2 linked regions of the Oryctolagus cuniculus genome follow. The protein of the gene in region 2 purifies or fractionates together with the protein of the main gene of each other region. This does not show direct contact. Links are inferred from orthologs where the notes say so. Each region holds a gene or a part of one and is shown on either strand. Other genes may lie near its edges.

What was found. Proteins that work in one complex are often made in the same cells at the same time.
Region 1: the proteins of LURAP1 (region 2) and CDC42BPB purify together in Homo sapiens (co-immunoprecipitation; 3 studies listed by BioGRID and IntAct, with this or other methods). This does not show direct contact. The link is inferred for Oryctolagus cuniculus from reciprocal best matches to the Homo sapiens genes LURAP1 and CDC42BPB.

The regions. Positions count from the first base shown.
Region 1 is NC_091451.1:46,025,101-46,028,615, reverse strand, and holds part of CDC42BPB (serine/threonine-protein kinase MRCK beta), read left to right. Parts: intron 1-190; coding exon 191-274; intron 275-426; coding exon 427-504; intron 505-1,514; coding exon 1,515-1,620; intron 1,621-2,029; coding exon 2,030-2,166; intron 2,167-2,629; coding exon 2,630-2,769; intron 2,770-3,515. UniProt on the Homo sapiens protein: Serine/threonine-protein kinase which is an important downstream effector of CDC42 and plays a role in the regulation of cytoskeleton reorganization and cell migration. Regulates actin cytoskeletal reorganization via phosphorylation of PPP1R12C and MYL9/MLC2.
Region 2 is NC_091438.1:126,551,987-126,556,194, reverse strand, and holds the start of LURAP1 (leucine rich adaptor protein 1), read left to right. Parts: upstream 1-1,395; 5' UTR 1,396-1,589; coding exon 1,590-1,787; intron 1,788-4,208. UniProt on the Homo sapiens protein: Acts as an activator of the canonical NF-kappa-B pathway and drive the production of pro-inflammatory cytokines. Promotes the antigen (Ag)-presenting and priming function of dendritic cells via the canonical NF-kappa-B pathway.

The DNA of each region.
Region 1 (3,515 bases), on a different chromosome or scaffold from region 2:
CTTCGTCCTCACACTGCCAGGCTGAGGTAAAATCACGGAAGAATCAGGTCACGTGGCCCAGTCCTGGCTCCCCTGCATGGGCGTGCCCAGGGCGGGAGAGCTGGGGGTAGGGTGCGGGCCTGGGACTCAGGCTCCCGGGGAGTGGAGCAGGTGTGGGCTGCACGGGACCCTGTGCGCCTTCGTTTTGCAGAGCAGCTCAGCCAGTGAGCAGGAAGCGCAGGCTGCAAAGCCGGAGGCCTCGCCCTCTGTGGCCGCCAGCACCGAGCAGCAGGAGGTAAGGCGGTGCTGCCTTGGGGAGCAAAGACCCTGTCCCCCAGCCTGCAGCGGGAGCCTCGCCCTTCGGCACAGATGTTGCTAGCAGCCCGTTGTAGAGAGGGGAGTCCTACGCCAAGGTGCGCATGCTCACCTCTCCTGCCTGTCTCCTAGGACCTGGCGCGACCGCCACAGAGGATGCCCGCTGTGCCGCTGCCCACCACGCCGGCCCTTGCCCTGGCTGGACCAAAGGTAGGGCCTCGTGCGTCATTCAGAAAGATCGGAAAATAACTGGTGTGAAGAAGACAGCGTTCTGGACACAGTAGGATCTCGTGCCCTGTGCCGAGCTGGTCTGGGTTGGTGGCGGCCTAGGAGCCTGCGGTGGCGTCACCACACCTGTGCTCCACACAGCCGTCCACACAGCCTGTGCTCGTGCTGAGGGTGTCGCTCCATGGTTCTGAGCCTTGTCGTTTTGGCCCTGCCGTCGGCACAGGCAGGCCTCCCTGATTTGTGTCGTGGCCTGGCGTTCCATGGCCTCCTTTGTGTTTGGTGTAGACAGCACAGAGCACTCAGTTCGCAGTGGTGCCCAGCCCCCCTGACTGACTCTGAGCCCACGTGGCAGGACTCTCTGATGCCGCCGTCGGCGTGGCCCTGACGTCTGCCCGGTTCCCGCTGAGGAAGAAGTGGGGTTCATTTAAGATGAGCTGACCTTTGGCTTTTGGCCTTAAGAGCCTTCAAGAGTCAGGGACCGCGTTAAGAGGGTCGTCCTACCTTTTGTGAACGTATTCGATACCCAGAAGTGGCTCTGCTGGGGTGTCGCCCAGCACAGCTGTGACCGGCCCAGCCACTGCCCGCGCCCCTCCCTGGGTGCTTGGTCACCCACTCCTCGCTTCTTCCCGACGATCTCGCCACACCTGTGCCATGCTGAGCGCATTGTGGGACTCAGCCCTGCCCTGTGTTGGTCTCTGGTCCGTGGATTGCGGCGCTGGGGCCTGCCAAGCTTTTCCTGTTGGGAGCACTCCCGTGCAGGGCTGCTTGGAGAGACAGTCTGGCCCCAGCATAGTCTGTCTTGGGGAGCTTATGCCAGGGTCAGCCCCGCCTCCCAGGGCCGCGGCTCAGCCCACCTGTGTCTCTGAGGTGAGCAAAGGTGGATGTGTTCTGGCCTACACGCCCTAGGAGGTTCCAGGCTCACGTGGCGAGGCCTCAGGGGACCGTGTGCTGCTCAGCCGTGCTCACCTCTGTTCTTGGCCCTCTTCCTCCAGCCCAAGGCCCACCAGTTCAGCATCAAGTCCTTCTCCAGCCCCACACAGTGCAGCCACTGCACCTCCCTGATGGTCGGCCTCATTCGCCAGGGCTACGCCTGCGAGGGTGAGTGTCCGGCCTCGCCTCCCCGCCGGCCTGGAGCAGCAGGGAAGAGACGGGGTGTGCACTGGCCAGGTGGGCCTGGCAGCCCTGTGGGTGAGGCTGTACACGGGGGGCCGCCCCTGGGCTGTGTGGACGCCGCCTTGGTGGTTTTCTTGGTTCTCCGTGTGGTAGCAGGAGCATTTTCCTTTTAACTTGTAAGCACTGGTTGCTTGCCAGGACCCCGGTCTATATGCACGGCAGCCCTGGGGGACTGGGGACCTGCCTGTGTGGGATGGCGTAACCACGAGCCAAGCCCCGCCTTCCTATAAGCCAGGTGGACGTCCATGCAGCACTAGATCGCTGGGCTTCTGGGGTTGTGGTGACGCTGCCCTGGGTACGTCCCGAGGGTCACATGCCTTCCTGTCCTTCCCAGTGTGTTCCTTTGCGTGCCACGTCTCCTGCAGAGACAGCGCCCCCCAGGTGTGCCCCATCCCTCCCGAGCAGTCCAAGAGGCCTCTTGGCGTGGACGTACAGAGGGGCATAGGAACAGCCTACAAGGGCTACGTCAAGGTAAGAGGGCTGCAGCCTCCCAGTCTGTGGCCCCTTCCACTCAGTCCTCAGCGTCCCGGGCTAGTGGCTGAGGGCCACCACACTGCTCTTGAAGCCGGTGCCTGAGTGAGGTGACCTGGGGTGCTCCTGGGGGCAGGAGGTCCTGAGGACCGGAACCCACTGAGGTGCCTATGCGAGGTGACCTGGGGTGCTCCTGGGAGGCAGGGGGTCCTGAGGACCGGAACCCACTGGGGGCCCATCCCCCCGGCTGGCCAGGTGTCCAGGGTCAGGTTGGGTGGGAGGACTGCAAGGCTCCTGTCCACTGTGGCCCAGCTGCTGGTGGACCCGCACATGCGGAGCCTTCCCCAGATACAGCCCTGGCCGCTGGGACGTGCACAGCGCCAGAGGCAGGTGGTGAGCTGGCCCTGCGGCCTCCGCTGCCGCTGCCCTGGCCCAGCGAAGCGTGGTCACTGTGCGTCTGCAGGTCCCAAAGCCCAGCGGGGTGAAGAAGGGCTGGCAGCGGGCGTACGCGGTGGTGTGCGACTGCAAGCTCTTCCTGTACGACCTGCCTGAGGGGAAGTCTGCCCAGCCCGGGGTCGTCGCCAGCCAGGTCCTGGACCTCAGGTGTGTGTCGGCGTGCTGGCCACGCGCTCTGGCGGGGACCCGGCTCAGCTGCCGGCAGCTGTCACAGAGGGTTGGGTGCTTGGTGACCCTCAACCTCATCGACACCTTCACCTCCTTAACTACTGTGAGCCCAAACACGGGACAGGTTTAGTTACTCCTGAGAGGCTGTGAGCGTCACTGCTGTGGCTGTCTGTGCATTGGAAAGATGGCTGCGGTGGGTGTTGTCTGTAGCTGGGACAGCCACGTCCCCTGTCGGGAGTGCCGGGGTCAAGTCCCAGCCTGGGTTTTTATCCAGGCCCCTGCTGATGTGTACCTTCGAGACAGCTTGTGGGGGACGCAGATGGACGTCCTGGCTCCTGGTTTCAACCTAGCCCACCCCAGTGATTGCAGGCGTTTGGAGAGTGAGCCAGAGGATGGAAGATTTCTGTTTCTCTGCCTTTCAAATAAATGAAAAATAAACTAAGAAAAAATTGCCAGGTAGACATTTAGCATGTGACTCTGTGCCCACGAACAGCAGGAACTCGGCAGAGGCACAGCCTGTGCCGGAAGCTTGGCACCAGGGCTGAGCGTCAGACCCGTGCGAGTGTAGCCCTGCACCCGCGTCTCTGTCCTCAGACTCCATGTCTGTGACACCGGCAAGGACCCCACTGCCCACACAGAGGGCTGGGCTGAGGGTCAAGCCAATTACTGGAGATGCACTACACACAGTACACACAGGCCGTCCGTACGTGAGAGACACGCCACAC
Region 2 (4,208 bases):
AAAGTAAATTTTCAGAAAGGCAAATGTTTTGCCAGTCTCTGATTTAAAACCTTCCCATTGGGACCGGTGTTCTGATGCAGTGTGCATTCCATAATGGAGTGGATGGAAGATCTCTGCCTCTCCTCCTCTCTCTATTGCTCTTTCAAATAGATAGATGCTTAAAAAAGAGAGAGAAAAGAAAACCCCTTTCTCAGAAAAAAAAAAAAAAACTTTAAGAAAAACTTAAATTACAAAGGATACAATCATATGAACTAGAAATAATGATGGAAATATGTAGTCATGGAGAAAGGTATCTGTAGTTATCTCATTAGGAAGCCAATAGACAATGTTTAAAAGTAGGAAGTGGTGGGGCCATGTGCTGCGGCATAGCAGGTAAAGCCATGGTCTGCAGTGCCGGCATCCCATATGGGCGCCGATTCAAGTCCCAGCTGCTCCACTTCCAATCCAGCTCTCTGCTATGGCCTGGGAGAAAGCAGTAGAAGATAGCCCAAGTCTTTGGACCCCTGCATCTATGTGGAAGACCCAGAAGAAGCTCTTGGCTCTTAGCTACGGATCGTCCCCAGCCCCAGCTGTTGTGGCCAACTGGGGAGTGAACCAGCAGATGGAAGATTTCTCTCTGTGTGTAACTTTGTATTTCAAATAAATAAATAAATCTTTTTTTAAAATTAGGAAGTGGTGCTGTTAGCCTATTTGTTGTTCAGAGTGTACACACCAGGAAAAAAAACTAAAAGTGGTTGCCTCTAGGGAGTGGGGCCTGGAGGTGTGAAAGGGAAGGGCCAGGGCACCTGTCTTCATGGTACAGCCTTCTGTAACCATGGACTGGAGTTGCTTGGGTTAAAAGCCAAAACCAAACCAAATTTTTCATGGCTCCTCCTTGGCTCTGGAAACATCTTCTATAGCCCTGTTGCTCAAAGTGTGGTCCCCAGACCCACAAGCAGCATGACCATTCCCTGGGAGCCTGTTGGAAAAGCAGAATCTCAGCCCCACCTGCAGATTTACAGGATCAGAACCTGCATTTTAAGATTGGCAAGTGATGCACAGGCCCCTGGGGCTTCAGTACTGGTTGCTCCTCACTGGCCATCCACTCCTTTCGTCTGAATTCCAGCTCCCGGGGAGTGTGTGCAGGTGGCTAGCTTGATTTTAGCCGCCCGCCCGTTTTAGTTCCAGCTGGCCTACTCCAGGAAACCTTCCAAACCTTCTGTGCAGCTCTCTGAGACTTCTGTTCCTGAAATTCGCACATCTCTAAGGCTTCGCTTTCATTCAGCAAACGTTTATTTTGGGTGCTCGTTGCGTGCCTAGCTGGAGTCAGCGCCGGGGTAGGGAGAAGGCGCTGAGCTCTCCGGGTGCACGTAGGATCGCCCAGCCTCACGGCACGCAGGGCCAGGGGTTGTGTGCGCAGCACTCGGAGACACAGCCTCACACGGCTCTGCGCGGCTTTTCTGAGAGTTACGGCGCCCTCCTCCCGCCCCCGCGCAGTGCCGGGCGGGGACCCACCGGTTCCGCTCCGCGTTAGCAGGGGCGACAGAAAGACCCCCGGGAGCAGGACCCCAGCGTCCGGCCGCCCATCCCCGCTCGCGCTTGGGGCCCGCATGGAGGGGCCGGTGGAGTCCCAGACTCCTGACCTGCGAGACGTGGAGGGCAAGGTGGGCAGGAAGACCCCTGAAGGGCTGCTCCGTGGGCTGCGAGGCGAGTGGGAGCCGGAACCCTCTGGCGCCCTGCTGCTCCCGGGGTCGCCCGGAACGGGCCACGGCCTGGGGGACAGGATCATGGCGCTGAGGATGGAGCTGGTGAGTGTGCGGGATGAGTCCCCCCGCGTAGGGCTGGAAGGGACGGACTCACGCCCCCGGAGGTGGTCTGGAGAGTCCCCACCTAACTCCTTGGGGTCCCTCCCAGATCTGTCGTAAAGCCCGGTCTGGAGGTGGGGTGACGTCCTTTTAATTGTCCCCCGAGGGTGAGTGCGCTGTGGATGCGTCCTGAGGACTAGGGCTGGGAGACGCAGGCTCTGGGAAGTTTTTCCTGCCGAGTAATTGGGGGGGGGGGGGGCTGGGAAGTTCAGAGAACCTATCGCAGCACGCTTCAGCGTCCTCCCGGTACGGGGCCACTCGTTCCCCCAGCCCCCATCCCAAGGCAGCCAGTCTTTCTCTTCCTGCAAACTGGGAATGGGCTTGGTTCCTGTGAGGAGGGGGGTGTTCTCGCTAGGATTCGGCACACAAGAGATCTGAAGGGCAGAGCCGCTGAAAGCGGACTGGAGCGCTGGAGACCCCGCCTCCGCGTTCCCTAGCCCCACTTGGTGTGGGCATTTGAAAGTTCCAAGACTCAGCAGAGACAGCAGCCGGCGCTTCGGTCCCCTCACCTGCGACTCAGCCTCCTCCCCCGCACCTTCTTGGCAAAGAGAGGCCACAGGGCAGCAGCCCTCCCCTATCCCAGTTGCTGCTGGTCTAGATTCTGAGCCAAAAGGGCAGCTGGGGCCCCCCACAGACTCCCCAGGGCCCTAGGTGGCTCCCCAGAGCCCTGGTTCCGGTGAAGGGGTGATTTACACCTGCCACGGCTTTGCAGCCAGTTCTGGAGAGCTGAGGAATTGCCCGCTGCTCCCTGGCCCCAGACCAGGAGCTGACTGTGAGTGTGTCAGCCAAGTCTTCCTGGAGCCCCACTTTGTGCCCAGTTCTGGGAGGAAGCAAAGGGAGGAGGTCAGAGAGGCTCCCGCTCAGGCCCCAAATTAGAGACTCTGAGGAGAGCTTGATGGGCGGAGCAGTCAAGGGAGGCTCCCTGGGGGTAGTTCTTGGATGCCAAGTGTGCACCTGGCCTTGAAGGTTGGAGGCAAGTGCCAAACCCAGAGCAGGGCTGTGACTGTATCCAGCTATGCTGGGGGGGGGGGGGGGACCTCACTGTGCAAACTTTAGCCCAAGGCCTAGAAAGAGACAACCTGGACTGCCCTGCTTTGCAAGGAACTTTGACTGTGTATGTGCCGGCATCGTGCCCAGCCCTTTATGTGATATTCTCTTGCAACCCTGTTAGGTAAGGAATACCTGCCTAACACAGGTAACACCAGGCACAGAGAGGTTAACTCACTGCCCAAGGTCATGAAAAAAGTGAAAAGCAGAGCCAGGATTTGAACCCAGGTCTGCTGACCACCACTTTGCATCTTTACAACTGAGACCTGTTCTGTGCTGGACACTTTACAATACGTTTTGTATCACTGGAATGAGAAAAGTGGTCATCATTTCCCCCACCTCGGATACACTTGCAGGTGCTGGTTCAGGAGCTTCCTGAACTCACAAGGAGCCTGGAGGCGCCACGCCTTGTCTTTCTGCCTCTCTCTTCTGCTTCGGTGGAGACCACCTGTTTATAAGCTGTAGGGGTACATTTCACTTCTGATTGTCTCTCTCTGTATTTTTGACCCAGCTGGCCTGGGGCATGAGGCTGGATGTAAAGGGTACAACTTAGGGAGCCTTCCTGAGCCAGGACAAGGAGAGGGGCCCTAGCATTCCCTCCACCCTCCTCAGGCTTGGAGTCCTCAGTCTCCGACCTAGAGGAGCAAGGGGTGGGGCAGGGGTTTCCCTGGGGCCACTGGAGGCAAGACTGGTGCAAGCCCTCTAAGAATTGCCCTGCAGTTGTCCTTCTTCCCTGGGGCTCCCATGCAGGGAGGGGCAGTCCTGCCCTTGTGGCCAAGGTCGGTCCTGCCTCTAGGGCTCTTCTTACCCTTCTTCTGCTGTAGAATGAGTGAATGAGTCAGACTCTGGAATGAGACCCTGGGTTTCGTGGGAATGGGAAACAATGCAACCTCCCCTCCTTAGTTCTCCCACCCAAAGAACTGTTGCTAGGGCAACAGCAGAGCCAACAGCGGAGCCGGTGTGAAGCAGCTATAGGCAGGAAGCGGGAAGGCATGGGTTCAAGTCTTGGCTGTGCTTCTGAATCACTGTGTGATCTTGAGCAGGCCCTGTCTCTCCTCGCCTCACTTTTTGTGCCTGTGGAACCTGCCTGCTGGGGCTGGGTCTTTTCCTGCAGGTTCCGTTTTGCCTGGGGCCGGAGGCTGCCCCCAGCAGGACCCCAGCATAGGCAGTCTATGTATTATCAAGGACAGGAGGAGGGAATCCGAATCCTCCTGGGAAGAGAATGGGGTTTGAGTAGCTTCTGAGGCTGTAGCTCTGCTCAGCTGTTTTTCCTCTACTCTGCTTCCAAAGAGAGAGTGTGAAATGAGTGCTGCTTTT